3 linked regions of the Schizosaccharomyces pombe genome follow. The gene in region 1 interacts genetically with each later gene. Each region holds a gene or a part of one and is shown in the gene's direction. Other genes may lie near its edges.

Evidence for each region.
Region 2: mutations in ste6 (region 1) and erd1 together harm fitness more than expected from each alone (negative genetic interaction), as found in Schizosaccharomyces pombe (one large-scale study listed by BioGRID).
Region 3: mutations in ste6 (region 1) and cmr2 together harm fitness less than expected from each alone (positive genetic interaction), as found in Schizosaccharomyces pombe (one large-scale study listed by BioGRID).

What each region holds. Positions count from the first base shown.
Region 1 is NC_003421.2:1,761,071-1,772,110, forward strand, and holds ste6 (RasGEF Ste6), read left to right. Parts: upstream 1-5,015; coding exon 5,016-7,751; 3' UTR 7,752-7,901; downstream 7,902-11,040. Other genes in the region: SPOM_SPCC1450.15 (pig-F/3-ketosphinganine reductase fusion protein), read left to right, coding at 137-178, 565-2,007; triacylglycerol lipase Ptl1, read right to left, coding at 2,280-2,401, 2,453-3,968; ubiquitin-protein transferase inhibitor Glm2, read left to right, coding at 7,923-8,096, 8,154-9,668; mme1 (ATP-Mg/Pi carrier protein), read left to right, coding at 10,422-10,817, 10,941-11,040.
Region 2 is NC_003424.3:495,263-505,163, reverse strand, and holds erd1 (EXS domain-containing protein), read left to right. Parts: upstream 1-4,517; 5' UTR 4,518-4,758; coding exon 4,759-5,880; 3' UTR 5,881-6,286; downstream 6,287-9,901. Other genes in the region: atg10 (autophagy C terminal domain family protein), read right to left, coding at 1-111; yea6 (NAD+ transporter), read left to right, coding at 1,071-2,186; rRNA processing protein Rrp15, read left to right, coding at 2,780-3,397; SPOM_SPAC227.19C (uncharacterized protein), read left to right, coding at 3,679-3,798, 3,916-4,047; slx9 (ribosome biogenesis protein), read right to left, coding at 6,434-6,949, 6,991-6,993; dop1 (family protein DOPEY), read right to left, coding at 7,475-9,901. UniProt on the Schizosaccharomyces pombe protein: Required for the retention of luminal endoplasmic reticulum proteins, affects glycoprotein processing in the Golgi apparatus.
Region 3 is NC_003424.3:1,122,078-1,132,460, forward strand, and holds cmr2 (AMP binding enzyme), read left to right. Parts: upstream 1-2,000; 5' UTR 2,001-2,089; coding exon 2,090-6,643; 3' UTR 6,644-7,027; downstream 7,028-10,383. Other genes in the region: gto2 (alpha-glucosidase), read left to right, coding at 1-1,452; translation initiation factor Tif52, read left to right, coding at 7,471-10,383.

The sequences.
Region 1 (11,040 bases):
AGCTCTAGTAGTTGGTATTTGGCAGGATAGATATTAGTAAACATACCCACATAAACATGTTACTTATCTTTGCTACTTGGAAGTTATAGGTCTTTGGACCTGGAAAAGTAATCAAACAAATACCAATTCCATTACAATGGGGTTTTGGGGTCGAAACTCGTTTGAAGCCGATAAAAAGGTATGTTTTATTTTACAGATGGGCGAGGTGTCCAGGTTGGAGATGTACGGAACGGATATGAGTAACCAGGGTTGCCTTTAAAGATTTATAAAAACAATATTTACATTGCTTCATCTCACATCCATGAAGATGTATTTGCAAATTTTTTTTTTTTAAATTTTTGTTCTGTAATTCTTTTTTTTGTTTATTGATGTGTTTTGTAATTGTTGGGCGTTGAATTATTTACTTTTCCTCGAACAATCAATTAAGGTAGTTGGGATAGAAGCAATGACTTGTACGTTTATCAAAAATACTTTGCAATCTAATTTTGGATATTTCTTAACATCTTGTCACTCTGTAACTCGTTTATCTCTTTTGAAGTGTTGGAAATGGACTAACAGTACAAGCATATCTTGGTGACCGGTGGGTCTCAGGGACTTGGCAAGGCAATAGCTAAGGAACTCGTGCTACGTGGGGCAAATGTAACAATTGTTGCAAGGACTGTAACTAAATTGCAAGAAGCAGTGGCTGAGCTTTCAGACTCAAAAATTCATGAAGATCAACAAGTATCGTTTGAGAGCGTGGATCTTACAAGTTATGAGAGTGTCCATAGCATGATAGAAAGACTTCCATTTTGCCCGGATCATGTTGTTCATTGCGCCGGATCTTGCATTCCTGGTTTCTTCACGGAATTGGATCCCTCGGTTTTTGAAAAGCAAATGCGACAAAATTATTTGGCTAGTGTTTATGTTTGCCATGCTGCAATTAGAAGGATGAAGGAAATATCTCCTTCATATTCTCGAAGGATTCTTCTAGTTGGCTCCCTACTCAGTTCTTTACCTATTATAGGCTATTCGGCATATTCCCCTGTAAAAGCTGCTGTCCGAAATTTAGCTGATTCTCTTCGCCAAGAATGCATTTTGTATGATATTGAAGTCTCTGTTTATCTTCCTAGCACCATCCTTTCTCCAGGATATGAACAAGAAAATACACTGAAACCGGAATTGGTTTTACAGATGGAGGGTATGGATTCCGTACAAACTTGCGAGGAAGCAGCCTCCCATTGCATGACAGGTTTAGATCGAGGAGATTTTTTGATTGCAAATGAATCAACTGGCCATCTAATGAAAAACCATTGTCGAAACTCTAGCCCACATGATAATCCTATTTTAGAATACTTATTTGCTCTTGTTTCTCTTCTAGCTTGGCCATTCTATAGAAGAAAGCTAGACAGTTTGGTTTATCAATATGCTTTAGAAAAGGGTTACAGACAACCTTCGAGCTCTAGAAATAGTTGGATATTTACTTTATTGCTGACATTTACTCAACTCACCATTTTCTATCTTTCCCTAAACTGTTTAATTGAAAATCCTTATAGAATGCTTAGAAATACTTTTCCTATTTGGTTTATCATGCAAACATTGCAAATCTATATTCAAAGCCCACGCCCACCCTTAACCCCAAAGAGATTACTTGCCGGTGCAGCATCAATGTTGATAGGCTCTTTACTCATCTCCTTCATTCTCGTAGCATTTGGAGCACCACTTCTGCACGACTTTCATTTGACGTATTTTTGTGCTCTAACGCTCAGCGTCTTTACTGTATATCCTCTTGCAAGCACGCTTGCTTTTAACACTGAACAATGGCAAAGGTTCCTTACTTTAAAATCCTTTAATGTTATAGGTAGCATGCAGCTAAGAAGCTGGGGTCCTATTATTGGTGCTTGGTTTGGCGCTTTTCCTATCCCATTAGATTGGGACCGTCCTTGGCAGGCTTGGCCCATTACTATAGTAATTGGTGCATTCTTAGGATATGCTTTTGCAGCTATAGTTGGAGAGATTCTTCAATAGACAATTATACAGTTGGTTAAATTCTTTATTTTTAGTTATCGTTAAAGAGCGGAGCGTTATCGCTAATTATACTTTGAGAAATAGATTTGAAATTTCTTAGAAATTTAAAAAAATAGAATGAACGTCAGTATTTTGTTTTCCTATGAGTAGTAAATATATAATAAAATGTAAATTAACCAAAGTAACTAAAACTAATAAAATTAACATTAACGCATGACCAATCCTTAAGGGACAAGATTATAAACAAATGCTTTTTTTTTTAAAAAATCCGTCTATTTTACTTTAAAAATTTTCAGCATCTTTTCTTGGTTTTCTTCTAAATTAGTGACAAAGGGCGATGCCAGATTATTAACGGACAAAGGTTCAACGTAACTGTTGGTAAGGTTTTTTGAAACTGTTAGGTTAGCAAGTAACAAAACTCAAAAAAGAATCGGCTTCCACATACGATGTCGTAAAGAAATTTCAGTTTTACAGCGAACTTGTAAAAGTGGTATAGCTTGCCATGTGGCCCTTTCACCTACTAGAATCCAATACTGGATGTCGCTTAATGAGGGCTTGGTAAATGCATGCTTTATGTCCGAGAAAGAAAATGTTGGAGTAAGCGTGATATACGCACTTGGAACATAATCGTCAACAAAAAATCGACGTAGTCTTGGAGGTAGAAGACCCAAAATATCCAGTTGGCGGAAACGGTAAGCCATTTCTAATCCTACTAAGCGTATCATTTTTAAGGAGTATCCTGAAACACGATGATGATGAAGTTCATCATAAAATGTAGGGAACAACGAAGGGCGAGACTGGGTAATAACAAAATGATTCACGTTGAAAATCTCAGAGATTCGTGCATAAGGATTAGAGCGACCGGTATTAGGAAGCCCAGCATACGGCCAAATAAAATTTTTGGGAGTACACACCTCGGTAGACCCATCGGGAAGTTTAGCCAAAAGAGGAGAAGAGCGGTAAATGGCAGCCCAGCTATTGCTAGAACATACGGCACTCCAGATCAGCACATTAGGGGCAGTGAAATAATTAAGAACCTGAGGGGATCCAGAAACAGCTGAAGGTGGAGCAACGATGTTAACAATACGTCCAGTACGCTCAAAAGCCTCTTGAAAGGTAATAGTACCGAGTCTTTGACGGACAAAAGATGCTATCATGGAAATGTCAAGCATATTCCCATACTCCACAACTTTTGAAAGAGAATAGTCAGATGTTTGCTGACATATTTTCCACAGTTCGCTGGGGAAAGTATCAAACAAACCATTCAATTCTTCATCACGATAGACACTCAAAAGCGATGCAATCAACGCACCTGATGCGCATCCTGCAAGGATTTGAGGAAGCAAATTACGTTTCCAAAGGGTCTTAGCTACCCCAAAGTGATATAGACCAAACGCAGTGCCGCCGTTGAAATACAAACAGGTAGTACCGAAGGAAATTCGGGCAGCGGAAAAAAAATCGCACTTAACGTCGTAGGAAAGCCTTTTAGTGTGATATAAAAACTCTAAACAATTGTTGACCTCACGTACATACTCTTCAATCAAAATTTTTGTACCCGAGTAATTCTCGGTATACAGAGAGGAATTGCCAATGTTGCCAAAGTTACGAAGTAAGCTAGAGCGCAAGAACATTAACATGGGATAGACAGATTTCCTCTGGCGGTATCGTTTTAAGGAGACCGTGCATCGATCAATCAATAGATAGTCGTACTTGTCCGAGGCAGGAGTAAAGCGCCATTTCCAACGCCCCGACGCCTTGTCAATCGTCGTAGCCAAAACTTTCCAATCCTCCCAAGAACGACAATCCTTGTTCATAACTACCTTTCCCTTTCGAGGGCCGGAACCACGCTGCTGCGATATCGACGTAGCGGAAAATAACCATTCAAAAAATGAAACCACCAGTAGCCAAATGGACGAAATATTCGCATACATAATGCGCCAGAAATTAAATAGTGCAGTCATATTAGGCAAACAATGGTAAATTCACAAATTACAATACAATTTCCAATCTTTTCTAATTTTACGTAACAAGTCTCAACAGGACCTATGGATAGAGTTATCCTTTAATTTTTGTAAGTTCCAACTAAAATCCGCTTCAAACACTTCATGAACTACTACAATATCTTTTATAATTGGAGAATTCCACCTAACAGCTCAATTCATAGAACTAGCTCAATTGAAGCTGGTTAATGGCAATTGGCACGATTACATCCGTGGGAAAAAACATTTGTTGAACTTGTCGGTGAATTCGGTGAACCCTATGTCATGGGCAGTTTATAGGTGGGCATGATGTGTATAGCGTATTAAATTGCCGTATTATATTGGTACTATAACGAAATAATTGCAATACACTATAATAAAGTGGAGTCGACTATCATGACATACGGTATTTAAATATAGCGATACATAAAATTTTTTTGCGTATTTTTACTGCCTAAAATGAATCGGTCAAGGATAGTCGCAAAAGCTTTTAAATTCACTGGTCTATTCCTTTAACAATAGTCATCAAGTTTGGATCAATAGAAAAGAATTCAACTTTTTTTTTTAGAAAAACGCTACCAGAAGGACAATCTGTTTTATTTTTCAGGAAGAACATTTTTCTTTCTGTATTTATTGAATAGCGAAGGATAGGGTTGAATAGTGAAAACAACGAAGTATTACTGTATTGCGGAATAGTCGCATACCCACAGGTTTTAGGTGAGTCCATTGTGAAAGTGATTGACAACATAGTCTAGTGAAATACTGTATGTAATATTACAGTTGCGTAGTGACAAAACGCGACGCGCCAAATTCACAGGTAATTTCTATTGTAGTAGCCCATTGTTAGTAAACAAAGAAATTCCCAAAATGGCTAATAATGGGAAAACAAGCTTTTTTTTTAAATAAACGGGTGTTTTCTTTATTTTAAAAGCAGGAAAATACTGAAATAACTTAAGAAGGTATATTTCCTCTTTTCTTTCAAAAATAAATGAATCGTGGAATTGATAGCATTCATGGACCCTTACGAAAATGAGGTTTCAAACGACCGCAATAAGTGATTATGAGAACAGCTCTAATCCTTCATTTTTAAAATTTTCTGCAGGAGACACTATCATAGTTATAGAAGTGCTCGAGGACGGTTGGTGCGACGGAATTTGCTCAGAAAAACGAGGTTGGTTCCCCACGTCGTGCATTGATTCTTCAAAAATTCAAAATTTTTTTTCAAGTTTTCATTCATCGAATGAGAAAGACCCAAATGCTCAATGTTGTGCGCCGTTTCACGTAGAGGCTCATCTTCAAGATTCTGCATGGTTTGAGAAACACGGAGTGCAAGCGATAAATAGTATCCCTTCTTCAGAAGAGTTCTTAAGAAAAAATCTTCAAAATGACATTCACCACCTTGTAAAAGGGATTCTCACCACCGCTGCCGCTGTGTCACAATCTATAAAAAAGGAAGGCACTCAAGTGATCGTTTTTGGAATTGAAACTGTTCGTAGTATGGTTCTTTCATTTCCCTTGATAATCCTTTCTACATTAGATGAAAATTTTCTCTCAGAAGTCGCGCAAGTGTTCTCCTCATTAAATTTATTGCCAGAGTTGAGCCGAATGGGTTGCACTTATGGTGAACTTTGCATCAGATTTACTAAGCTTTTGAAGCAATTGGCTAATAAGTTTTTGTTTTTCTTCAGGCCCGATGTTTCCTTCCCTTCTTACTTTTTGGGCTCTTTGATAGCGCATGAAATACATTTCTTGCCATGGGATTTTAATATGCTCTGTTCCAATTCTGTACAATCAGCACATACAAATCTCCAACCTGATATTACTTCCTTTGTTGCAATTTTGTCACTTTCACACGAAGCTTACCATTGCACTGAGAATGAATTTTGGAATTTAGAAGCACAGAAGCTAACTGAAAATACAACCCAAAAAGTACTACAGCTAGTTGCGGAAGATGCACTAGAAGCTTGGAAACTAGATATTCTAGAGGACATCGATAGATGCATTCAATGTTGTAGGCGATTCTTGTCTGCAAATCAAAGAATAAATTATTCTTCCTCTGAAAATAACCCTTTTTCTTTCACTTCTCAAGATGTTGAAGCCTTGAAGGATGAACTGTCTTCTAACTTATGTGATTTATATTTGTGGAGTATCGACTTGGAGCAAATCTCACCTAGCGATTGTTTACTGGACAATTATTCCCTTTTTGTTGATTTACTAGTAACCTTGAAAGTATCCCTTCTTCGGATCAAGTCAATAATTGTTCAATTTTCAGAAAGAATTGTGTTTCTTTCTCTAGAATACAAATTCCTCACAAATATCCAACCAGAATTGAATGATGCGGAGAAGTCCCAACTTGATGGTTTTGACCTCAATAAAACCAACTGGTTCGACTCTAAAGGATTAGTTTGTTATTTAATGAAACAGACTTCACCAGAGCCATTATTGATCCGAAACCTTTTGTTTTCATTTTGGTCATGTAATGGTAAAATTGAACAAGATGGAAAAATAAAAACAGCCACTTTAGTGTTCATTATAAATTACCTTCTAAGGACAGATATAGATAGTACATTTTTTACTACTATCTTTTTAAACACATACGCTAGTATGATCAGTTCTTCAGATTTATTTTCCATACTTGGAGCACATTTTCGGTTCATCTGCTCATTAAATTTTGGAAAAATTTCTTTTATTTCTCACGAATTTTACCGAGTTAGTAAGAGGTTTTTGGATATACTTCTTATTTGGTTCGAATCGTATCTTGTTGAAGAGTTGGACAATTCCAAGTCAATATTCTTTTTGTTTAAAATTTATAAAGTTTTTGAAGTCTTTGTAGTTCCACATTTTGCATCTGCTGAAGAATTATTGCATTCTTTATCACACCTACTTCATCATCCCTCTACAAAAAGATCACATAAAATGCTAGAGGGAAAAGAGCTATCCCAAGAATTAGAGGATCTTTCTCTCCATAATTCCCCTGATCCAATTATATATAAGGATGAATTGGTTTTACTTCTACCTCCTCGTGAAATTGCAAAGCAGTTATGTATCTTAGAGTTTCAATCATTTTCACACATATCAAGGATTCAGTTCCTAACTAAAATCTGGGACAATCTTAACAGATTCTCACCCAAAGAAAAAACTTCGACCTTTTATTTGTCGAATCATCTGGTTAACTTTGTGACCGAAACCATCGTGCAAGAAGAAGAACCTCGCAGACGTACCAATGTGCTAGCATATTTTATTCAGGTCTGTGATTATTTGAGAGAGCTTAACAATTTTGCTAGTTTATTTTCCATCATTTCTGCGTTAAATTCCTCACCCATTCATCGGCTGCGTAAGACATGGGCAAATTTGAATAGTAAAACATTGGCTAGTTTTGAGCTTCTAAACAATTTGACAGAGGCAAGGAAAAATTTCAGTAATTATAGAGATTGTCTGGAGAACTGTGTCTTGCCATGTGTCCCTTTCTTAGGTGTTTACTTCACTGATCTGACTTTCCTTAAAACTGGAAATAAAGATAACTTTCAAAACATGATCAATTTCGATAAGCGCACCAAAGTCACTAGAATTTTGAATGAGATAAAAAAGTTTCAATCTGTTGGGTACATGTTTAATCCCATCAACGAAGTTCAAGAGCTTCTTAATGAAGTTATATCGAGAGAGCGAAACACGAATAACATCTATCAAAGAAGTTTAACTGTAGAACCACGTGAATCTGAAGATCAAGCCTTACAACGCTTGCTAATTGATTCTGGCATTTTTTGAAGCGTGAACGTTAACAGTGATTTAAGTTTTTATGAGCTTGCTTCGAATTCCTTTAATATTTTCAAATCTTTTGTAGAACAATATAATCTTAAAATCATTTAATTCTGATATAGTCTGCCTCGTAAATTATCTTTCGTCCGTTTACCTCACACCTTAATATTCATAAGAAGAATGGACTGGAAAGAAGCGATTCCAGGTGCCGCCAAGGTAGCCATTGAAACCAAAGATTATATTACCTACTCAACGCTACTCGAATTGATATTGGAAGAAGCGCGAATAAAGGATATTGATGAGCAGCGAGAGTTGATTAAGTGTCTACATGAAGAATTGAAGCAAGAAAAGAATGTAAGTAAAAATATTCATGTAATTAAATATGAATTCTCCTAATAATGTTGCAATTAGGACCATATAACACGCGAAATTTCCTGGGACATTATAGGAATGGTGCTTCCATATGTTGGGAAAGTACAAAATGAGGCCGATGAGTTTGTGGACTTCTTAGCCAAAAACGGAAATCCAAGAGAGGTGTTCCTTAAATGTTGTGAACTTTTGATAAATGGAGGCTTTGAAAGTCCCCAACAATTCATATCTCTGAACAGTGCCATTTTATCAGCCTTACACCGTATATCTACAAAGCGACCAGTTCTATTTGTAAATAATTTTTTAATTTCATTGTTTTCGGGGTTAGCAAATATTTTGCAAATTGATAGCGATGAACTGTATTGTGTTTGGAAAATCTCAATATCATCTATACAAGATGCAATGCATCGCTTTCCAGTGTCAGAGTGTTATTTGGCATGTTTAAAGGCTTGCAGTATTTTAGCTCAACTCTTTTTAAGTAAAGAAACATTGATGCTTTCTTTCCGTTCGCTGCTTCAAACAAAAGATCAGTATGCAGAGTTTCGTGAAGAACTAAGTGGCGCTACGACTAATTGTGACAAGTTGGATACCCTTTCAAAATCCATAATAAACATCTTCGATTATCTTTTGTCCCATCTTCCAGAGAGCTGGAGTATCATTACTGAGCACATGGCTCAGGAGCTGACAAAAGCTACATATGTAAGTCAGTCATCCTCTATTTCCTCAGAAGACGAAGAAATAGCCAAAAATGCTGATGTTCCTGCTGAAGTTGATAACAATTCTACTAAGGCTGATGATAAGCGGGATGAAATTGAATTTGACACGAAAGGATGTCTTGCTTTATTAACAATTAAATCGTTCTATCAAAGCGGAAACTTCTTTCTGGATTTTTTGAAAGAAAAATTTCCCTCTACTATCCTTGAAACTTTGCAGCAATTGGTCTCTTGGGAGATTCAATTGGATAGTGTTGGTTTCAAAGATATTGCTGTGTATCAAGGATATTTGTTGGATTTACCTCATTTCCAGGTTCCCGACTCCGAACTCGAGCATCTCTCCAGTTTGCTCCATGGATATCATTTTATGGCTTCTTCGACAGAACTTCCTTGGCTGCGTGTTACATGCAATGCTATAGTCACAAAATGTCTGGATTCTCAGTTACCAAGTGTCCGTCTTTCCTACATACTTGATACTTTGGAAGAATGCCCACTGTTAAATATAAAAACTGCTATCCTAAATTATTATCAAAAACAGTGTTCTCTTGTAAAAGATAGTAATGAGGAAGGTTTAAAAAACTTTGTATCTCCCAATACCCTTCTGGATGTTTTCAAAGTGTTTGACGCTATGGAAGATGTTGAACTTGATTCTCAATCCCTATCGTACATTCACCAAACACTGGTGTTTCTCTATTCACTCGAGATTCAAAATTTGTTAAGTCAAAACCAATTTCCTACTGTATATTTCACTAAGATTTCCGACCAAATAAATAATTATGAGGGAGAGCTTCCTACAGACGGACTGAAGTATTATATTGAGCTTCTAAATTCTCGCAACAAATGAGGTTCAACAACAAAAATTAAAGTTTTCGTGAAAAAGTGTATGGAAGGAAGCATAAATGTTTCTTCTACTTCTCCCCTAACATATGCTCTAATCGTTTTACTTGAAATTGTATTTTTTAACATTTTACATATATTTTTGATTCAAATTCAGATGCTAAACCAATTAGTAAATCTACTGCTCTATTAAATTGGTCACACCAAACATACATTTCATTCAATAGCATCAGGGATCAAAGAAAGGTTATACTGGATTTCTCACTGCAATCATTGCTATATTCGTTACAGCCTTGCTGTAAAAAAGGTAGTTCCATATTTAGAAAAAAGATCGACATTTCATAAATTCAACAACTCATGACTGATTTTCATTTATTCTAAAAAAATAGGATTTTAATATTAGCTACAATTAAATCTAGAGTAAAAATCTAATAGATATATATAATTTGATGTTTTTCTAGTCTGTTATTATTCTGCTAGTAAACGCTAATCAGTAGGTTTTTAAGTACGAATAGCGACTTAACCAGAGCAAACTCGAAAGTTGGGTTCTTCGGTAAAAAAGGAGGGATTCCGTCTGACAAGTAAGTCCTGTGAAAGAACCATCAAGAATTGAGTTTTTTATACCACTTTGCGAAGCAATTTTAAAAATTGATCAGTTTCATGTCTGGAGAAAGGCAAAACTGCCAGGTTCCTTCATAAAATAGACGTTTTTCCTTTCCTCTTTCACTAAGAATTAATTCACATTCTTTTATCAAATACAATGGAGCCTGGAATACCTCCAATGATTGATAAAGCTCCAGCTTATAGTCATGTTTTGATTGCTGGAGGTATCGGAGGAGCCACGGCTGATTTCTTGATGCATTCTTTGGATACCGTGAAAACAAGACAACAAGCGGCTCTATATACGAACAAATATAACGGAATGGTAAAATGCTACTCCACAATTTTGTGTGAAGAAGGTGTTTTTCATGGCCTTTACAGTGGAGTATGCCCCATGCTTATTGGCAGTTTGCCGGCTACTGCTTTGTTTTTTAGCTCTTATGAATATACAAAACGACATTTGATGAGTAATTATAACCTTCCTGAAACCCTTTGTTTTTTATTAGCCGGATTTGTCGGCGATTTGTTTGCTTCAGTTGTTTATGTCCCATCCGAGGTAAGTATTGCATATAGTGGGAAGACCAAATATTTCTGAAAATAAATTTCCAGTTTTTATCCTTCTAAAGGTTTCCCGCTGCTTTATGAAAAACAGTTGTATACTAACGAGCGTTTTTCATAGGTTTTGAAAACTAGACTACAATTGCAAGGACGCTACAATAATCCCCATTTCCAGTCAAATTACAATTATCCTTCATTTCGAGGTGCCGTCAAACAGATTG
Region 2 (9,901 bases), on another chromosome or scaffold:
AGTATGCCATTCTAACTTCAAAATACACTCATCAAACTCAATCAACTCACAAGAAATACCACCTTTCGACAGCTTCTGAGCAAGGATAAGTAATTGAGACTTAAAGCTCATTATTGTCACGGTTAGCCAATTTAATCACTTTATCTTTGCTAAAGCAATAAGTAATTGAAGAAGGAATTATTGTCCCATAAGCCTGGCTACAGTCTGATTGTTCAACGCACTATTCCAATGAGGGCAATAGAGGCAATCACCTGTCAATATATTTGAAGTTAAGTCTCGACAAAAATGGTGTTTCAGTTATTTACAAGTATATTAATTCTACATCTTGCTTCTAAAGTTGACAATAAGAGTATGACAAAACAGTACGTTGGAGTTTACAAAGTTATCCAACAATATAGTGGTACACTGTGTAGTTACTACGTTTTCAACATTTCTTCTCAGCAAATGTAGGATTTCTTAAAAAAATAATTTTTTCGACTAGAAATTGGCGGTAATCAAGAGAAGCTAATGTATAAAAACAATATGTTTGGACTTGGAAAAAAATGAAAAACTAAGGTTTTATATTAGTAATTTCCTCTTAATACTTATACGAGCAAAAGCAAAAGCAAAAGCACTGTTCCAATGGTGCTTATAAAGCCAACTGATCTGTGAAGTAAAATTGAGATATGTGTGTAAAGCTGTTAGCAACATCAATGTCACCATTATATATTGTTAATGGGCATTACGACTTTAATCATATCTGATATGCACATATAAAAGAAATTCTCTTTTAAGGGCATGGAACGTCCTCTCAATTAGTAATTCGGAGACATTCATGTCGTTAATGTGGTTTACCGCACAGTGATTCGACTTTCTTATTGACGGCTGCCAAACACTTTACTTACATATATGTTGTTGTACAGCTTCTTACATCAACGCTAAAATATATATACATTTCCAATTTGAAACATCGTAAGGCGTTGGATCGTTCTTATCAGCGTCTAAAAAAGTAAAGAATTTGTCAAGGTCTATTATTTAATTGCTGTTTTCTTTAGATGCATGCATTATCATCAGGAAATTGATCCGTCTTTATGGTTGATGATTCTCTAAAGGATGCTATAGCAGGAGGAGCTGCTGGATTGGCCTCTTCTCTTGTAGTGGCACCTTTAGATGTAGTAAAAACAAGAAAGCAGGCACAAAAGGCTTTTTATTCAACTGGTGGTGGAAAAAATACAATGGTTTTGGGTGGGACCCTCAGTTCGATGCGAACAATTTTTCACAATGAAGGCATCGCCGGTCTTTATAGAGGTGTTGGACCCATGATGTTAGGTTATCTTCCTAGTTGGTCCATTTATTTTGTAGTCTATGAAAAATGCAAAGTGCTATTTGGGGTAAATAAAAAATACACTTCTCTCCACGAAATTGATTCGTCCAAGGTTGGCATCAAGGCTTCCTTAGATAGTTCTGACAAACAATTTTATCGTTACTGGGGTGGTCAAATCTTTTCTGCGGTTATCGCCGGTGCTGCAAGTGTCACTCTTACTAACCCCATTTGGGTTGTAAAAACAAGGTTAGTCACTCAATCACATCCTAGGGCTTCTTCTTTTGTAGATAAAATTGCTGCGGCTACAACCGTCCAGTTTCGTAATCTTCAAACGGACGCACCATCCGTCAAATGGAGAATGCCTCGCTTTTGGCTCAAGCGTAGGACGAATGTCAAATCTTCTCCATCACAGCATCCAGTGAATCCTCCCACAGGCCCTGCATGTTCACCTGCATACAACAACACATTTGACGCATTTCGAAAAATTTATAAATACGAAGGCCTTGCAGCATTTTACCGAGGTCTTTTCCCCTCTTTATTTGGTACATTGCATGTTGGCATCCAATTTCCACTGTACGAATATTTTAAATCATTTTTGGATGATTTTTTTGGTAAAAAAAGCAACTTTCATATAGTGTTAGCAGCTACTTTGTCTAAAATCGCAGCTTCTACCGTCACTTATCCTCATGAAGTTTTGAGAACTCGGTTGCAGAGTTTGGATGCACCTACACACAACTCGGCTACCTTACTTATTCGAGACATATGGCGTTCAGAGGGTTGGAGAAAATATTACTCTGGCATGGCAACAAATTTTATACGCACCATACCTGCCAGTTCGGTTACCTTCCTCAGTTTCGAAATTGTTCGCAAATGGCTGAACTAATTTATCCGTTGTGTATATACTCAAGAAAACGATCAAAGTCTTTATTTTTTTAACGACAATCCAAGGTTAATCAGTTTCCTTGAGATGTGTGCATGATTTCTAATATTAATTATTACTGTCTCACAGCTGTTAGGTTTTCCTAATTCTTATTCTTACCCCCTCTCATCAATATTTATTTAATAATTACCTTTTATTAAGCATTTGTTTCTTGTGTTACCAGCCCAGCCCTATTTTGAGACTGGATGAAACCCATTCTAGTTTATTTTACTTTAATACGAGTAGCCCCTGTTCGTGGTCATAAGCATGAACGTATCAAGCTTTGAGCTTTATTAGTGTTTTTTTGGTCAGAAATTTCCAATTATTCCCATTCCTATTATACTGAGCAAATTTATAATATTTTAGTGTTCGCCAAATTGAACTAAACTACCTAAAATAAAATTAAATTTTTTTTATATAATTAAAGAAACAGAATATCAGTTTTATTCTATTAGAACGAACTAGGCGCTTCAAATTGATATTGTGCATTTTTTGGAGACCATGCTTTACTTGGTGGTTCCAGTCAAAAAATTTCAAATTTAGACAACAACACATTAATGGCGAAATCACAAAGATCTCAAATAAAAAACGAAGATATATCATTTGTCTCTCAAGAAGATGATTCCTCTAAAAAATTTGTAAAAGATGATAGCGAAAACTCTGAGGAAGAGTTGGAAGACTTGAACAGCGAAGACGAATTTTATCAATCCAATAGTTCTGAAGATGAAATTGAAGAAGAAGTTCAAGAAAGTACCATTGCTGATGACATTGCTGATATCTTAAATCAACAAGTTACTCAAACTGATGAACAAGACACGCCGGTTCTAAGTTTGTCTAAAAAATCTAAAAAAGCTTTACGAAAAAGTAATGCGGAAAAAAAAGACTCTAAACTACGTACTTCTAGAAGACGTGAAAGATTGAGAAAAGAGATGGTTGGTCGTGTTACGAGCGTTGTTGCAGTTAACGCTGAAACAGCAAAAGCTTTATTCACCCATGAACGTGAGCTTCGCCGTATTGCTCGCAGAGGTGTAGTTCAATTATTCAATGCTGTTCGTACTGCTCAACTTCAAAGCTCTTTAAATAGAGAAAACATCTCTGGTGGTCGTACTGCTCGTGAGCAAAAAGTCAAAGAGCTCTCAAAGGCGAGCTTCCTTGACCTCATAAAATCCCAGTAACGGGAAAACTTTCAAAATAGGGCAATACTATCCCAGATCTAGTTTAACACGGTTTTTTAAGGCTTTCTTTTAATGTTTTTCTTTTAATTCTCCTTTTTTCTTTAACATTTGAGGAGATTCTGTACTTTTACTTTGTTGTCTCTGCGAAACGTTTGCTCTTGTACAACTAGTATAGATTCTTTATAAAAGGTATTTAGTTAGGTTTCGTTGGTTATAATTAAATTACTACTCATCATATTTTGTTTAAAACGTGCCTGAAGATACCTATCAATACGGTTAAAATGATGGGTTCGATGGTATCTAATGGATACTTACTGCTATTTACCTGTTGGTTTTTATTTGTATTTGGACTTATGACTATATTTAACTTTGTTGAGATACCACTTTATGTTGATGGCGATGTAAGTTATGATGCTAAAATCTCAATGGCATCGTCGAATATTTTCTGCCAGGGTCATTGTACCAATATGTTTTAATTTCTCTATCTTGTACAAATTTGGTTCTAATATTTTTAACAGGTTTCACCTATTCGTTCTTATTATCCATGTATATTAATTCTGACTTGTACAGTGGTTTTTTTCGTATGGTTATTCTTTAATTGGCTTGGACTCAAATATTTTCGGCATTCTCCAAGCGCTATGCGCCGATAAATTTTTAAAGTAATGAATAAGCATTTGCTCTCCATTTTTCGAAAACCGTCAATCTGTATTATTAAAGGATTGTGAATCAACTTCAAGACTTTTTTAAGGAGTTCAAGCATAATTAGTAAATTGAGGTGTGAACGGTTATCAGATGATTGAGCCATCAAATTTATCTACGATCATTTTCTAACCTGATTCGTTTGATGTTCCATTCAACAAAATCTGTTATACTACTTTAAGCGTAACCCATTTGCTCTACTCGCATCATCTATATGCTACTAAACCAAACCACTCATTGTCAGCTTAATATTAATATTCAGCATAACACAAGTTTCGTCATATATTTAAAAATTCACCTTACTTTTTCATGTTTTAAGTTTTACTGTAAAATCCCACCATTCTTTGTAGAGACCAACATGATTCTTGGCTGTGGTGGTATTTAAGATTTTACCTTGGTGTACCCTATTGCATTCATTTCCACAACGCACCTCTCGACATTCAAGCAGTAATGCTAATCTCTATCATCATAGAACCCTTTATTTGATAATTTTCATTATTTATGAGTCAAGTTTTATCATCATAATTAGAAGATCGGCTGTACAACTTGACTCGACATATTTTACACTGTTTGCGTCTCTCTTTGTAAAAATTCATCCATTGTATAATTGCATTCAAGTTTATTTTAATATATTATTTCAGATTTTCTCCCTTTTATTTAATATGGCGTTGATAGAGGATTTGAATCACTTTATCAATTATTTTCCTCTAGTATTGAGATTATTCTTCTTGGTCGTATTTGGTCTTTATTCTTTCACATTGATATTACATCTATTAGTGATAAATAGGGTCGACGTGTTCTCATTATTACATACTCCGTTGCCTGTCAATCGATCACAGCAAGCTAATGCTCCTCTATGGCAATTGTCATTCTCCCTATCTATATTAGGTACTCTACTTTTCGTAATAGCCGAATCCTTATATTTGATTTCTGGGTCTGATGAATTGGCATACGTCCCCGTTTTTATTTTTGGTGTTATTGTTTTTATGCCTGTACATAAGTTCTGGTTCTTCCAGAGAAAGGTGTTTACTCGACAGTGTCTAAGGATTTTGGGAGGAAGCTACAGACCTGATTACAAATTTCCCGATGTTATATTTTCTGATTTATTGACTTCTTACTCGAGGGTCATTGCTGATCTCTGGCTAGCTGGAGCAATCTTGATTTACGTAACTGACTCACCTAATAACTCTCATAGAAAACAATATGAAAATGAGGTTATTATGTCAATGATTGCAGCGTATCCATACGCTATCCGATTTCGTCAATGTTTGATTGAAAGAAGCTCTGCGGATAATTCATCAGATAAATTTTGGAGTACATTGAATTCTATCAAGTATTTCACTGCTTTTCCAGCGATATTCCTTGGGATTTTTGCAAAGAAAAGATTTAGCTTTCTATGGTTTTTATGGAATACCTCTTCAGCTATAAATTCAACTTATTCATTTTGGTGGGATGTTTCAATGGATTGGAGTCTTCCCTTTTTTAAGCAACCGTTATCAATCCAAAACTGGAAATTTGGGGTTCGGCGTTTATTCCCAACATTCACATTTGCAGTTGTAAGTGCGATTGATTTTGTTTTGCGAATGGCCTGGGTAGTTCGCGTTTTGCCTGAACATCAATCCGCGTTTTTTACCACCGACTTTGGGATCTTTATAATGCAATTTCTTGAAGTTTTCCGACGTTGTGTTTGGGTTTTTTTTCGGATAGAAGCCGAAGCTTCTAAATCATTGGCCTATGTTAACATAAGTGATCGTAGTGACATCCCGACAATACATCCAGATTAAATGGAAATGATTGAAGTTACTATTGTCACATATGTGTAGGTATTACATCTGCAACCTTTTCAAAAAATTTCTTTCTTTAGGGCGTATCAATTTACCGTTCTATTATTTGCTTGGCATATAATATGTTTTTCATTCTTTTATTGCGCTAATGGTTTAATATTGCAAGTACATTGTCATTTGCGGACTTGCAACACAATGGCACCGTCTCGCTGAATTGGGTTTACTTAAAGTAAGAAAGTTACTTAAAATTTTATTATGGATATATACTTTTATTTGTTACATGGGAATCGTAATGGGTTTGAACAAATTTCACCATCTTTTACTGATTAAGTTGTTGAGTCAAAAGTTTAAAACATGAATTTAATAATAAATAAATAAATCAAGCTCTCTTTTTGCATACTGAATAACAAACTAGATCAGTAGACTTTTTTATTGTAAAAACATAATCAGTAAGTATGAAAAGAACCTCCCAAAGAAAACCCCCCAAATTAATCATGCATTTATAGTGTACTCAAATTCCTTCCAAATTTACCTAGACATGAGCATGCTCTATTTATCTACTATCCAAAGAGTTTCCTAAGTGCTCCCGTACCGTTTCCAAAGGATTTGAAACGAATGAAGGGTGCTTCAATATGGCTTGGAACCTTTCGATTTCCTCAACGGTATTTCGTTTCATAGAACTCTTAGTTTGTTTAGAAGATAAACTATCCTTAATTACGGGCTTCAACCTGGAGTTAGCTACCGAAATATCAAGATCAATTTCTGGAAGTACTTCTCCAATCGAAGACACATTGACTTTCAGGTTTTCTCTGGCTTTACGGTTCCGGCGCTTACGAGCCGAAGCAGATATTTTTGGATTAGAAAATTTTTGCTGCCAGTTGAAATGACGGTCTTTCCGTTTATCTTTCTTTGTTTCTTTCAGCGGATCATTGTTGAGCACTTGACTATTCGAAGTAACGGTGGAAGATAACTCGACATTTGGAATACTAGCTTGTTGGCTAGGTTTACCAGAAGACGGTAAACGACTTGATGCTTTTGACGCTAGACTGACTCTTTTTTTTGCTTTTGGCTGTTGTCGTCAGCCAAACGTTTATCTATGGATGAACATACCATGCTAAAATAAAATTGATTGTGAATCAATCGATAAAAATCGTTTTAAATGTTAAATAGGATATATAACCAAAATAATATTTACGATTGGAGTGAAATATCTTGAATATTCGGTGTGCTTTCTGGTTTAAAAATTCACTACAACTATTGGCATCGGATTTAACGGACTGCCCTTGATTGCGTAAGTTGGTTTCATAATATTAGTATTTGAAATGAAAAACTTAACTTACATTAATTTCCATCTTATGTGCAATGAATTAAGAAACAACATTAATTAACAATTTTTATAAATTAAAGCAGTTTTAAATGAATGTCCAACATGGTTCCTAAAGTATTTGCAAACTAAACCCTATAGCCATTTTCCGAATATAAACATTGAAACTTGAAAAGAAAATACATACAAAAATAATTAGGTTAGAGTAACTGGAAGTTACATAAGAAGCCACACAGCCTAGACTTCCTAATCGATATAAAATACTATGAATTAATTACTGGAGCCAGCCAGGCTTGATGGAGCCTTAATTGAAGAAAAGGGAGATAGGGGAGCATTAGAAAACCTTTGAAGAACTTCCCTGTAAATAGAATTTTCAAAAGATTGTATGTCGATTGTTGAAAACGAGTAGCTTTCTTCATAAGCGTCTATAGAAATGCGATTTAAAAAGTTTCTTAATTGAGCGTCCGTTGTGTAAATGCCTAAAGAAGGGGTTCTTGTAGTTGAAGTAAGAATAGAATGTTCGGATTCAACACTGGATTTGTCGTCCTTCTCCGATGCTTGCTCCTGAAGTCGCTCAGAAACCTTTTGTACGAGGGATTTACGGCTAGTTTTTCCGCTCCAATAGACAGCATCTAGTGGACTAAGCATCACAACCCATTCATGTAGCGCAAATTCTTCAAGTTTGAGTGCAGTTAAAAAATCCAAAAGCCTGCATGCGTCTAATAATGTCTCTTTAGAAATGGCAACATTTGGCATACAGTAAGATTTAAAAATGATCAACAATTCGCTAACAACGATTGGCCATAATGGAAGCAAATGCTTCGAAGAGGTCCTTAAAGCTAGAGCTCTAATAAATAAAAACAGGTCCTTTTTTAATACTCCTTCAGGATCAGACGTTATAAGCCGTTTGACAAGGTCAATCAGAGGTGGAAGACTAGGCAGGAAAAAATCACGTGGAGAAGATAACATTAATATTGTGATCCGACATATGTTGCTCTGCCTTGCACCTAGTTGAGTATCCCGAGATGTAAATAAAGTAGTAACGCCTAAATCAGATTTTGTTATGAGATCATTTAATCTAGATATCTCTTGGTACAAAGCTGTGTATATTACTGGAGAAAGCTTTCTTAATTGATCAATATCGAACCTGAACAGTGAATTATCATTAAAAATTTCCCAAAAATCGCGCCTCCATGATTTACTCAAAAACGGATGTTTACTCAACACGAGCAATAAGTCCAAATGATAAGTGGTGAGTGATTCCGGAAATGTCCTAGCCTTTACTAAAGGAGTTATAAATACATTGACGATTGATGTAGCCCAAGCAACTAGTTTATCTTCTTCCTTAGAAAGCTCGGTTATTTTTGGAACAAACTCAGAACAGAAAAAGTCAAGCAAAGAGGGATCTAAGTATTTTACGAATAAATACACGGAGCTAGTTTTCTTTTGTGTTTTGGCAACCTCAAACGTGTCTGCAGCAGCTTTATGATACGCCAGAAAATCTACAGTTAGGTTTGGATCACTTGATTTTCCTGCATGAAATAAGACTGAGGACAATGTTTTCCCCATCAAATCAATAAAGTCTTTTTGCTGGCGAGATTCGCAATAAGTGTTCACGTTTTTTGCAACTTCCAGTAGCATTCGTAAACATACCAGCAAATAGTTTTTAAAGCTGTTTGAGGAAGAAATAATCTCCCGAACAAATTTTGAAATTTCCGTAAAAATCTTAGATGTGTTTTCGCCCTCCACTCTGGAGACGAAGTCAGACATACAGCATAAAATATCGAGTTGTGTAATCTTTGCTGTCAAACTAGAAGGCCCTGCATAACTAGCTATTCCTTCACGTGCAAAAAAAGAAGAAACTAATTGCTTAACAATGTACTGAGGTTCAGAATCACTAAGAAATGAAAATATATCCCATATACACTGGCAACACTCAACATTGTTCTCCAAATAGATTTGTACCAGCGTTTCTACGCATTCAAGAGGTTCACAGAAGTAAAACTCTTTTAATCCCGATAAGGATGCTTCTTTTAAAACCGATGAATCATTCATAAATACTTTTGACGTTTTATCAGCATATGAAGACCGAATATGCCATGAATATGATAAAAATAATGTTTGCAAAGCATCCTGCATAGTTAAAAGCATAGATAATCTCTTGTTGACATCGATGCTAACGCCTGACGACTCCGCTGCAAACACACCAGAAATGACATTTCCGATGATACCATTGGCTTCTAAATTACTTTTCTTGGGGCCGGGTGAATATGTGAATTCCAATAAGGCTGCTGAAACTAACTCGCTAAGCATTTTCAACTTAGCAATAAAAACATCCATGCACGCATAATCTTTTACTGGGTCAGGGTATTTTAGGTACATAGACTCGTGTTGGTCAAGAAATGAATGAACAAATTTGCACAAAGATTGAATGGGATTAACCATCAAAAGTTGAAGGTTTTGTAAAAGAAGAGGTAAAAGCTTCTTTATAGCATGTAGCCACTTTGGCGAAAGTCCTGGATCATCATTCAACATTCCAACCAAAACAAAATTGGACAACAGATAATGCTGTTCAGAGGAAAGATCTATAGTCCCATCTAATCGAGAGAGTAAAAATTCTAGCATTTGCAAAAGACTCAAAATAAAACTTCGATAAGTTGATGAAGGAGAACGCTCAACTTCCTGTACAAGCGCAAA
Region 3 (10,383 bases), on another chromosome or scaffold:
GGTTCATGTGGGTCCGACCTTTTGAAACTGAATCCAGTTCATCCACCATTTTCTCTGCCAGGAGATGTTGATAATAAAGTTTACAGTTATCCCGAGGATTTTAATGCTACCAATACGACTGAGTACAAGTCTGTTTCTCGGGCTTCACAGAGTCAATATAAAGCCACTGCAACTTCTGAAAAATCACATGAAACACCTTCAAGTGAATCTCTTATTAACGGAAAGCCGGAGTTTAGTATCAACTATCCTCCTTATGCCTTAGACACAGATACTGAGACTCACGACTTGGCTCAATTTGGCGTTAGTCCTAATGCAACAATGCACGGCAATACATTAAGATATAATTTGTTCAACACATATGGCTACTCAGAAAGCAAGATCTCTTTTGAGGCACTTAATTCAATTCAGCCAAACATTAGGCCTTTCCTTTTGAGCCGCTCAACCTTTGTTGGTTCTGGACGATATGCCGCACATTGGCTTGGTGATAATAAATCACAATGGTCCGATATGGTTTCCTCTATTTCGAGTATACTTACTTTTAATTTATTGGGAATACCAATGGTTGGAGCAGATGTTTGTGGGTATAATGGTAATACCGATGAAGAGCTTTGTGCGCGTTGGATGGCTTTAGGAGCTTTTCTTCCATTTTATAGAAATCATAATAGTCTAGGTTCCATTCCACAAGAGCCGTTCAGATGGGCTTCTGTCGCTGAGGCATCTAGAAGCGCTATCGAAATACGCTACAGTTTATTGCCGTATTGGTACACTTTAATGCATACAGCTTCTGTCGATGGTACACCTATGGTGCGTCCTTTGTTCTTTGAATTCCCAAAACAAATCTCACTAGCAAGTGTGGATAAGCAGTTTATGATTGGAACTGCATTGCTGATATCCCCAGCGTTAGAACCAAACACGACATATATTCAAGGTATCATTCCTGGAGATAATGATACTATTTGGTACGATTGGTATAATCATTCGGTAATAAACCATGATTACGATGAAAATATTACTATGAGTGCACCACTTGGGTATGTCAATATTGCCGTTCGTGGAGGAAATATCATTCCCTTACAGCAACCCGGTTATACTACATATGAGTCGCGCAATAATCCTTATAGCTTGCTTATAGCTATGGATAATAATGGGTTTGCTAGTGGTAGTTTATATATTGATGACGGAATTTCGATGCAAACAAACTCATCTCTCTCTGTCAAACTAAATTCTAATTCAAATACGATTACGTGCGTAGTATCAGGAACCATGGTTTCGTCCCCATCTTTGGCCAACATTACAATCCTTGGTCTTTCAAACCCACCAAATACTATACTATTTAATGGTCAGCAATTAAGCGATTATCAATATTCAGACCAGACTCTTTCGTTAACAAATCTACTAGATTTGACAGTCGACGGTGCCTTTTCTAAAAACTGGACTGTAACATGGTCATAGTTCAATTTTTTTGTTATGTTTAACTTATAAGCTTGGGATTGCGCCCTCGTTTTGTTTATGATTTTAGAATCTCAAGTAATGGTGTTCATTAGAGTTTAACTTCTTAACTAGTTAGTGTTGAATTATATTTTTAATAAAAAGCTGCTGCTTGCTTTTATGCTGTTCTTTTTTATTGCTTTAAGATTTATAAATGATTTTAGAATACACGCAACGGGCATAGCAACAAGTGAAAATTAGGAGTACACTCAAATCTTGAAAAATTTTCTTGCTCTAATAAAATTTTTGACAAGTGTGCAATTGAATTATTATTTAATTGTTTTGACAGGTAAGGAGTATTGTATATAGCAAATACTGTGAAAGACAAATTCAAAAATTCTGAAAAGGCGTACTACCGATATATGATATGGTTTAGCTTTTTTTTTTTTAAATAAAAATATCATATCATGCTATGCCTTTAATGCTAGAAGCTCATAAATGTTTGATTTCGCTACCTCGAGTCTCGGTAAATGCAGCGAGCAAAAGCAGTATCAACACCAAAAAATTACAACAATCTCATAACCAAGTAATTGTAAAGGTTTCAAGGTTCGAATTACCAGGTTTATGAGGATACTAGACAAATAGAGGAATTTTGTTTGATATGAATCAATTTCCTAATCAACCTGGGAATTTCGGGCAAAACTATTACAAACCAGTTCAAGGTTCTATTCCTGCTAATTCAGAGGCGACAAATTTTCAACAAAATAACAGCAGAGAAAATAAGAGTGAATGTGAATTAAGGCAAAATTCTATTGCTGCATCTATGTCTGCATATCCGAATGGGATGTATGCAGGAGCGGAGAATCATAACGTTGAAAATCATGAAAATTATACAATGGTTGGTCACGATCATATGGAGGAGGTGTATGGAGACGATTTAGTAAATGAACCAAGGATAGCTTACTCTTCGGACATTGTAGCAACATTTGACGGAAAAGATTTTGGAAGCAACCTTCATGTCGATGACACCTTGGATCAGCAATGGGCTCACTTTGCTGGTAAACAACAGCATCCTCTTGAACCTCGTGAAATTCCTTTTCCTGTGACGGATCCACTGAACTCTAAAATCGAAATGAAACAATTTACTAATATAGCTGCTGTTTTACGATATAGAGGTGTACACAGCGCTAAGAAAACTGCATTTATTATTCTAGATAATAAAGGAAAAGAATTTACGTCTATCACATGGGAAAAACTAGCATCCCGAGCAGAAAAAGTTGCTCAAGTAATTCGCGATAAGAGTGGCCTTTTTAGAAGTGACCGGGTAGTTCTCATGTACAGGGACTGTGAAGCGATTGATTTCGTCGTCTCACTTTTTGGTTGCTTTATTGCTGGTGTCGTTGCTGTACCTATCAATCGTTTCGACGATTACAACGAGCTAAGTTCAATATTGACAACTACTAGTGCTCGACTTGCTCTTACCACTGATGCTAATTTAAAAGCCTTTCAACGAGATTTAAATGCTAAAAAGTTACACTGGCCAAAAAATGTTGAATGGTGGAAGACAAACGAATTTGGTGGATTCCACCTTAAGAAAAAGGCGGAAATGCCACCTTTACAGGTACCTGACCTTGCCTACATTGAATTTTCTCGGTCACCAATTGGTGAATTGCACGGAGTAGTAATTTCACATCGTACAATACTTCATCAAATGAATTGTCTTGCTGCTATTCATGCCACGGCTCCAGCTTATGAATCTGATAAACTAGACTATTTATCTATTGATCGTGAGTACACTGAAGGTCTTAGTAAATCCGGTTTATTCCTTACATATCTCGATTTACGTCAAGCTATCGGATTGATTTTGGGTGTCCTGCATACAGTCTTTTCTGGATACACGACTGTTTGGTGTCCTCAAAATGCCGTGTTTGTGCCAGGCTTATGGGCAAACCTTGCTACGCGCTATCGTGCATCGTTTATGCTTACTGACTATGCCGGTTTGAAGACTATCGCTTACAATTATCAAAATGATCCTAAAGCAACACTTGGGTTTAGTAAAAAACATTCAGTAGATTTATCTTCTTTACGAATGTGCATGGTTGATTGCTTAAACGTTGATTGTGAATTTCAAGAGATTGTTTCCGATCGTTGGTTAAAACCTCTTGGAAATCAAAATCCACGCGCAACATTCGTACCTTTGTTATGCCTTCCAGAACATGGAGGAATGGTAATTTCAATGAAAGACTGGATTGGTGGTGAAGAATTCATGTCTCCCAAAGGATTTAAGAGTCCAAGGACTCCGGAAAATGAGATTTCAGAGGTTCTATTAGAAAAAGAAGCTTTAAAGTTGAATGAAGTAGTGGTGTTGGCTGAAGATGACAAAGCACGTCGCCAATCCAAGCACCCAAACACCATACGTGTAGGAGCGTTTTGGTACCCTTTTGTTGATGCTACTCTCGCAATTGTTGACCCAGAGACTCAAGTCCTTTGCTTGCCTAACATAGTTGGCGAAATTTGGGTTGACTCGCCATCACTCTCGGGTGGGTTTTTTGCTCTTCCTAAACAAACTGAAGCAATTTTTCATGCTAGGACCAGCTTTATTTCCTCTGATACTTTTCAACCGATCCCATCTAACCAAGAGTTTTTAAGGACTGGTTTGCTTGGATTTATTCGCAAGGGTAAAGTATATGTTCTTGGTCTTTACGAGGATCGTCTTCAACAAAAAGTTGAGTGGGTTGATAATGGCAAACAGGATACTATATTCTTTCATCATTATACGTCCCATCTAGTAAACACTATCATGAGAAAGGTGTCCAAAGTTTTTGACTGTTCTGCTTTTGATATCTTCGTAAATAGCGAGCATTTACCTGTTGTTCTGCTAGAAAGCCCTGCAGCGAACATACCAACTGAAGCTAATGGTAACCAAGTTGTAATCAATTATGGATTGCTTGATCTTATTACTACGGAATGTGTCGAATGTCTTTTGGAAGATCATCAAGTTCGTGTCTACTGTGTTCTGATTTGTGCCCCTTTTACTCTACCCAGAGTAACAAAAAATGGTCGCCAAGAAATTGGTAACATGATGTGTAGGAGAGCGTTTGAGCATGGTACGCTTCCATTTCTTTATGTTAAATTTGCAGTAGAGCGAGCTGTTCTTAATTTACCAGTCGGTGAGGATGCTATAGACGGTATTTGGTCTAGCTATGCTAGCGGTATTCGACAGAATTTACTCTCTGATCAAGAACTTCAATACAGCGGGTTTATAGACCGCTCTTTACGATATGATGCAAAAACATCGGTGGATATCTCTTCTTGTCATACAATGCTTCAATTATTGCAATTACGAGTAGCAAAGAACGCAGAAGATATTGCCTATATTACTATAGATGGTCGTGGTCGAGAAGGAAAAAACATTACTTGGAGGAAATTTGATCAAAGAGTTGCAACTATTATTCGATATTTGCAAAAGAAAAAGTATATAAAGCCTGGTAGGGTGGTTGTTTTAATGTACACTCACTCAGAAGATTTTGTTTATGCTTTATATGCTTGCTTTTATTTAGGCTTGATTCCTATTCCCGTACCCCCATTGGATCACATGAGGCTTTCAGAAGACGTACCCGCGTTTTTGTTTTTAATAAAGCATTATTATGTTAGTGCCGTATTGGTCAATTCCGAAGCTGACACAGCTCTTCGTGCTAAAACCACATCTCAACATTTGAAGCAGTCGGCTATGGCTGCCAAAGTAGTACTGCCTTCTTTTATCGTGACTTCAAAAATTAGTAAGCAAACGAAAAGCATCAAGGAGTTGAATGTAAAGTTAGATCCGATATGTTTAGACCCTGCCTTCCCTGCTCTCGTTTGGGCTTTTTGGTCTCCTGATCATCGTTTAACTTTGACGGCATACAATCATCAAACGTTACTTTCTATATGCCAAATACACAAAGAAACATGCCAAATGACCCACAAACGGCCTCTGTTGGGACATGTCAGGAGTATGAGTGGTATTGGCTTTTTTCATACATGTTTAATGGGAGTCTTTTTGGGAACAACCACCTACCTTCTTTCACCCGTTGATTTTGCCAACAACCCTTTACTTTTATTCCAAATCATATCCAAATATAAGATTAAAGACACTTACGCTACTTTTCAAACTCTTAATTACATTCAAAACCAACAACCGACTAAATGGCCAAATCTGTCATGTCTTGAAAATTTAATGATTCCTCACGACGGTCGCATAAGTGCGTTCTATATCGCTAGTTTACAGAAGTACTTTGTGAAACATGGTCTGAGTCCTTATGCTTTCAGCACTGTGTATAGTAATTGTTTGAATCCGTTCATATCTACAAGATCATATATGGGTGCAATTCCTACACCTCAATTACTCGATTTGCGAGCTTTAAGGCATGGTTTAATACAACCATGCGAGTCAGCAGACAAGCCATATGCACTTCCTTTATTGGATTCTGGAATGGTTCCAGTTTCTACTCAGCTTGCAATAGTTAATCCTGATACTCGTGAACTATGCAGAGTTGGCGAGTATGGTGAAATCTGGATGCGCTCGAGTGCAAATGCTATCTCTTTTTTCCAATCAACAGATCCAGTAGATATGATGAGATTTAATGCTACTAACTCTGATGGATTTCTTGGTAACGGATATGTTCGTACTGGTGATTTGGGCTTTCTCCAAATCACTTCACATTCCATGGGACCCAACGCACCGGTTGTTGACATGCAACTTCTCTATGTATTAGGGCCCATTGGAGAGACTTTTGAAGTCAACGGTTTAAGTCATTTTCCTTCTGACATTGAGGACACCATTGAACGTTCTCATCCTCGAATCGCTCGTGGAGGAACTGCAGTTTTTCAGTCTGCTGGAAGAGTTGTTGTCGTTATTGAGGCTCTAGGTCAGGATTTTTTGGCAGCCATTGTTCCAGTAGTGATCAACAGTATCCTCGATGAGCATCAAATTATTGCCGATGTCGTAGCGTTTACTTCGCGTGGTAATTTCCCCCGTTCACGGCTTCGAGAAAAGCAAAGGGGTAAAATCCTTGCTTCTTGGGTTACCGGCAGACTTCGCACTACTCAAGTATTTTACATTAGGGGTTCTGGAGAAGGCGAGTTTCAATCTTCTTACGTGCCCGACTATAACCCAAGCTTACGATCCACTCCATCTGTTAGTTCTCGGTCTACTTTACCACAGCGAGTATTTTAAGATAGGTGGATATCGATCTGCCCTATCTCCTTATTCCTCGTTTCCTGGTATCATTTATATTTGGAAAATCAACTCTCTTTCCGTTGTTGTATCTTTGTGTTTTGATTCCTATTGCATCTCTGTTTGTTTGCTTATTTGATAAACAAGCAGAGCAAACTTTCTTTCATAATAATTTTTGGTATTAAAACCTATATTTTTATTTATTTGACTGCGTTAATATTCGCGTTTTGCATCTTTTTCTGTTAAAAAGTTCTCCGGATTTTTGAATAGCGTGTTGCTCTCCTTAATTTATATTTTTTGGTAGACTAAAAGAAATAATGACCTTGATATACTTTACTTACTTTAAGTCCATTTATCATTTTAAAATTGAGTATTACTCCCATATGTCAAACATTGTGCGTAATGCATCATTTCTTTCACTTACTGTTTAAATGCATTAGAATCTCATTATTCTTAGCTTGTCAGTTTACAAGCTTTGGATTGAAAACGCATTATAAGGTATCGGTATCTACGTTTCAAGTAATAATGAAAGATGCATTTTCATATCGTATAAAGATTCCAAATACAACCAAACATTATAAAAATACGACATTGAAAATTAGCAGCAAATGAAAGTAAAAGTATTGTACTACAGAGCATTGACGGTATTCTTTGTTAAGCATCAAGGCTAGTAATGTTTTAACTCCTTAATTTCTTATACCGAAATTGTATAAAAAACTCATTATTGTAATTAATTAGCAAAGAATATTCCTCGTTATAAAGTAGTAAACATACTTTGGCTTACATTTTTAATCAAACCAAAAACCATTGACGTTGAAAAACGAAGAATGGGGAAAAAGGGAAAAAAATCTGGATACGCTGATTGGGAAGATGATTTAGGTGAAGATATCAGCGGTCAAAACGAATACTTGGACAATACGTCTCAAGATTCTCCTCAAAATGATGAATTGGCTGAGAAGTCTGAAAACTTGGCTGTTTCCTCAGAGAAAACCACGTCAAAGAAAAAGAAAGGGAAAAAGAACAAAGGAAACAAAAACCAGGTTTCTGATGACGAGTCCCAAGAGCTCGAATCTCCTCAAGGTCCCAAAGAATTAACGGCGGTGACTGAATTGGATGATGATGAGTTTGACTACAAACCCAAGAAAGGCAAAAAAGGAAAGAAGTCAAAGAAGGTTGAGGAAGATGATGAACCTCAGGAAATTGAATCTCCTCAAGGACCTAAAGAGCTGACGGCGGTAACTGAATTGGATGATGATGAGTTTGACTACAAACCCAAGAAAGGCAAAAAAGGTAAAAAGGCTCAAAACAATAATGAGTCGGAAGCTGCTGCTCCTCCTGAAATTCCTGAAGTTCGTGTAAAAACTAAAAAGGAAAAGGAACGTGAGAAAAAAGAGCGCGAAAAACTTCGTAAAAAACAGCAACAGGCTAAGAAGAAAGGTAGTACGGGCGAGGATACTTTGGCTTCTTCTGAAGTTAGCTCTGAGGTCGATATTTCTACGCCGGCAGAAAATGATTCGTCTGCCAAAGGAAAACAGGCAGCTGGATCGAAGCGTAAAGGACCTAATGTAACAGCTCTGCAAAAGATGTTGGAGGAAAAAAGGGCCAGAGAGGAGGAAGAACAGAGAATACGTGAAGAAGAGGCACGGATAGCAGAGGAAGAAAAACGACTTGCCGAAGTGGAAGAAGCCAGAAAGGAAGAAGCTAGACTCAAAAAGAAAGAGAAGGAAAGGAAAAAGAAAGAAGAGATGAAGGCTCAAGGAAAATACCTTAGTAAAAAGCAGAAGGAACAACAGGCTCTGGCTCAACGTCGTCTTCAACAGATGTTGGAATCTGGTGTTCGGGTTGCGGGTCTCTCAAATGGTGAGAAAAAGCAAAAACCTGTTTACACTAATAAGAAGAAGTCTAATAGAAGTGGTACTTCTTCCATCTCTTCATCTGGCATATTAGAATCCTCCCCTGCCACTTCAATCTCGGTTGATGAACCACAAAAGGATTCTAAAGATGATTCTGAAAAAGTGGAAAAAGAGACAGAGGTTGAACGTAAAGAGGAAAATGAAGCTGAAGCTGAAGCTGTCTTTGATGATTGGGAAGCAGCATTGGAGGAACCTGAGGTTGCGGAAAATAATGAAGTGGTGACCGAGAAGAAAGAGACAGATATAAAGTCTGACGCTGTTGAACATTCTATTAAGGACAAGGAGGACTCCAAAACCGACAAGGTAGATGATATTCCACAAGCCGCACCTGCTGAATCGAATGTATCTGAGTCTGATCTTCGTTCACCAATTTGTTGTATTTTGGGTCATGTTGATACTGGCAAAACTAAATTGCTTGATAATCTTCGTCGTAGTAATGTACAAGAGGGCGAAGCTGGTGGTATTACTCAACAAATTGGTGCCACTTATTTTCCTATTGAGTCAATTAAGCAAAAAACGAAAGTTGTCAATAAGAAAGGCAAACTACAATACAATATACCTGGTCTGCTCATCATTGATACACCTGGTCACGAATCGTTTACCAACCTTCGTTCTCGTGGTACTTCACTCTGCAACATTGCCATTTTAGTGATTGATATTATGCATGGTTTAGAGCCTCAAACAATCGAGTCAATTCGACTACTACGCGATCAAAAGACACCATTCGTTGTTGCTTTGAATAAAGTTGATCGTCTTTACGGTTGGCATTCCATAAAGGACAACGCAATCCAAGATTCACTGTCTAAACAGAAGAAGGCTATCCAGAGGGAATTCAGAGATCGTGTTGAAAGTATTATCTTACAATTAAACGAACAAGGTTTAAACGCCGCATTGTACTTCGAAAATAAAAATTTGGGTCGTTACGTTTCTCTTGTTCCAACTTCTGCACAGAGCGGTGAGGGTGTTCCTGATTTAGTTGCTCTTTTAATTTCGTTAACGCAGACTCGTATGTCAGACCGTATCAAATACATTACTACTCTCGAATGTACCGTGTTGGAGGTTAAAGTCATTGAGGGCCTTGGTGCTACTATTGATGTTATTTTGTCAAACGGTGTCCTACACGAAGGTGATCGAATTGTTCTTTGTGGAATGGGTGGACCTATCATTACGACCGTTCGAGCTCTTCTGACACCTCAACCTTTAAAGGAAATGAGAGTTAAATCAGCTTATGTTCATCATAAAGAAATTAAAGCCGCAATGGGTGTAAAAATTTGTGCTAATGACCTTGAAAAGGCTGTAGCAGGATCTCGTTTGTTAGTCGTCGGACCTGATGACGATGAAGAAGATTTGGCAGAAGAGATCATGGAAGACCTTGAAAATCTTCTGGGAAGAATTGATACATCTGGTATTGGTGTTTCTGTTCAAGCTTCAACATTAGGATCCTTAGAAGCACTACTTGAGTTCCTCAAACAAATGAAAATTCCCGTTGCTTCAGTCAACATTGGTCCAGTGTACAAAAAGGATGTAATGCGCTGTGCTACTATGCTGGAGAAAGCTAAGGAATATGCATTGATGTTATGCTTTGATGTAAAAGTAGACCGAGATGCTGAAGACTTGGCTGAACAGCTTGGTGTCAAAATATTTTCTGCTAATGTCATCTATCATTTGTTTGATGCGTTCACGGCTCACCAAAAGAAGATCCTTGAGCAGAAACGTGAAGAAAGTTCTGATGTTGCAGTGTTTCCTTGTGTATTGAAGACAGTTGCTGCTTTCAACAAACGAGACCCTATCATTCTTGGTGTTGATGTTGTTGAAGGTGTTCTTCGT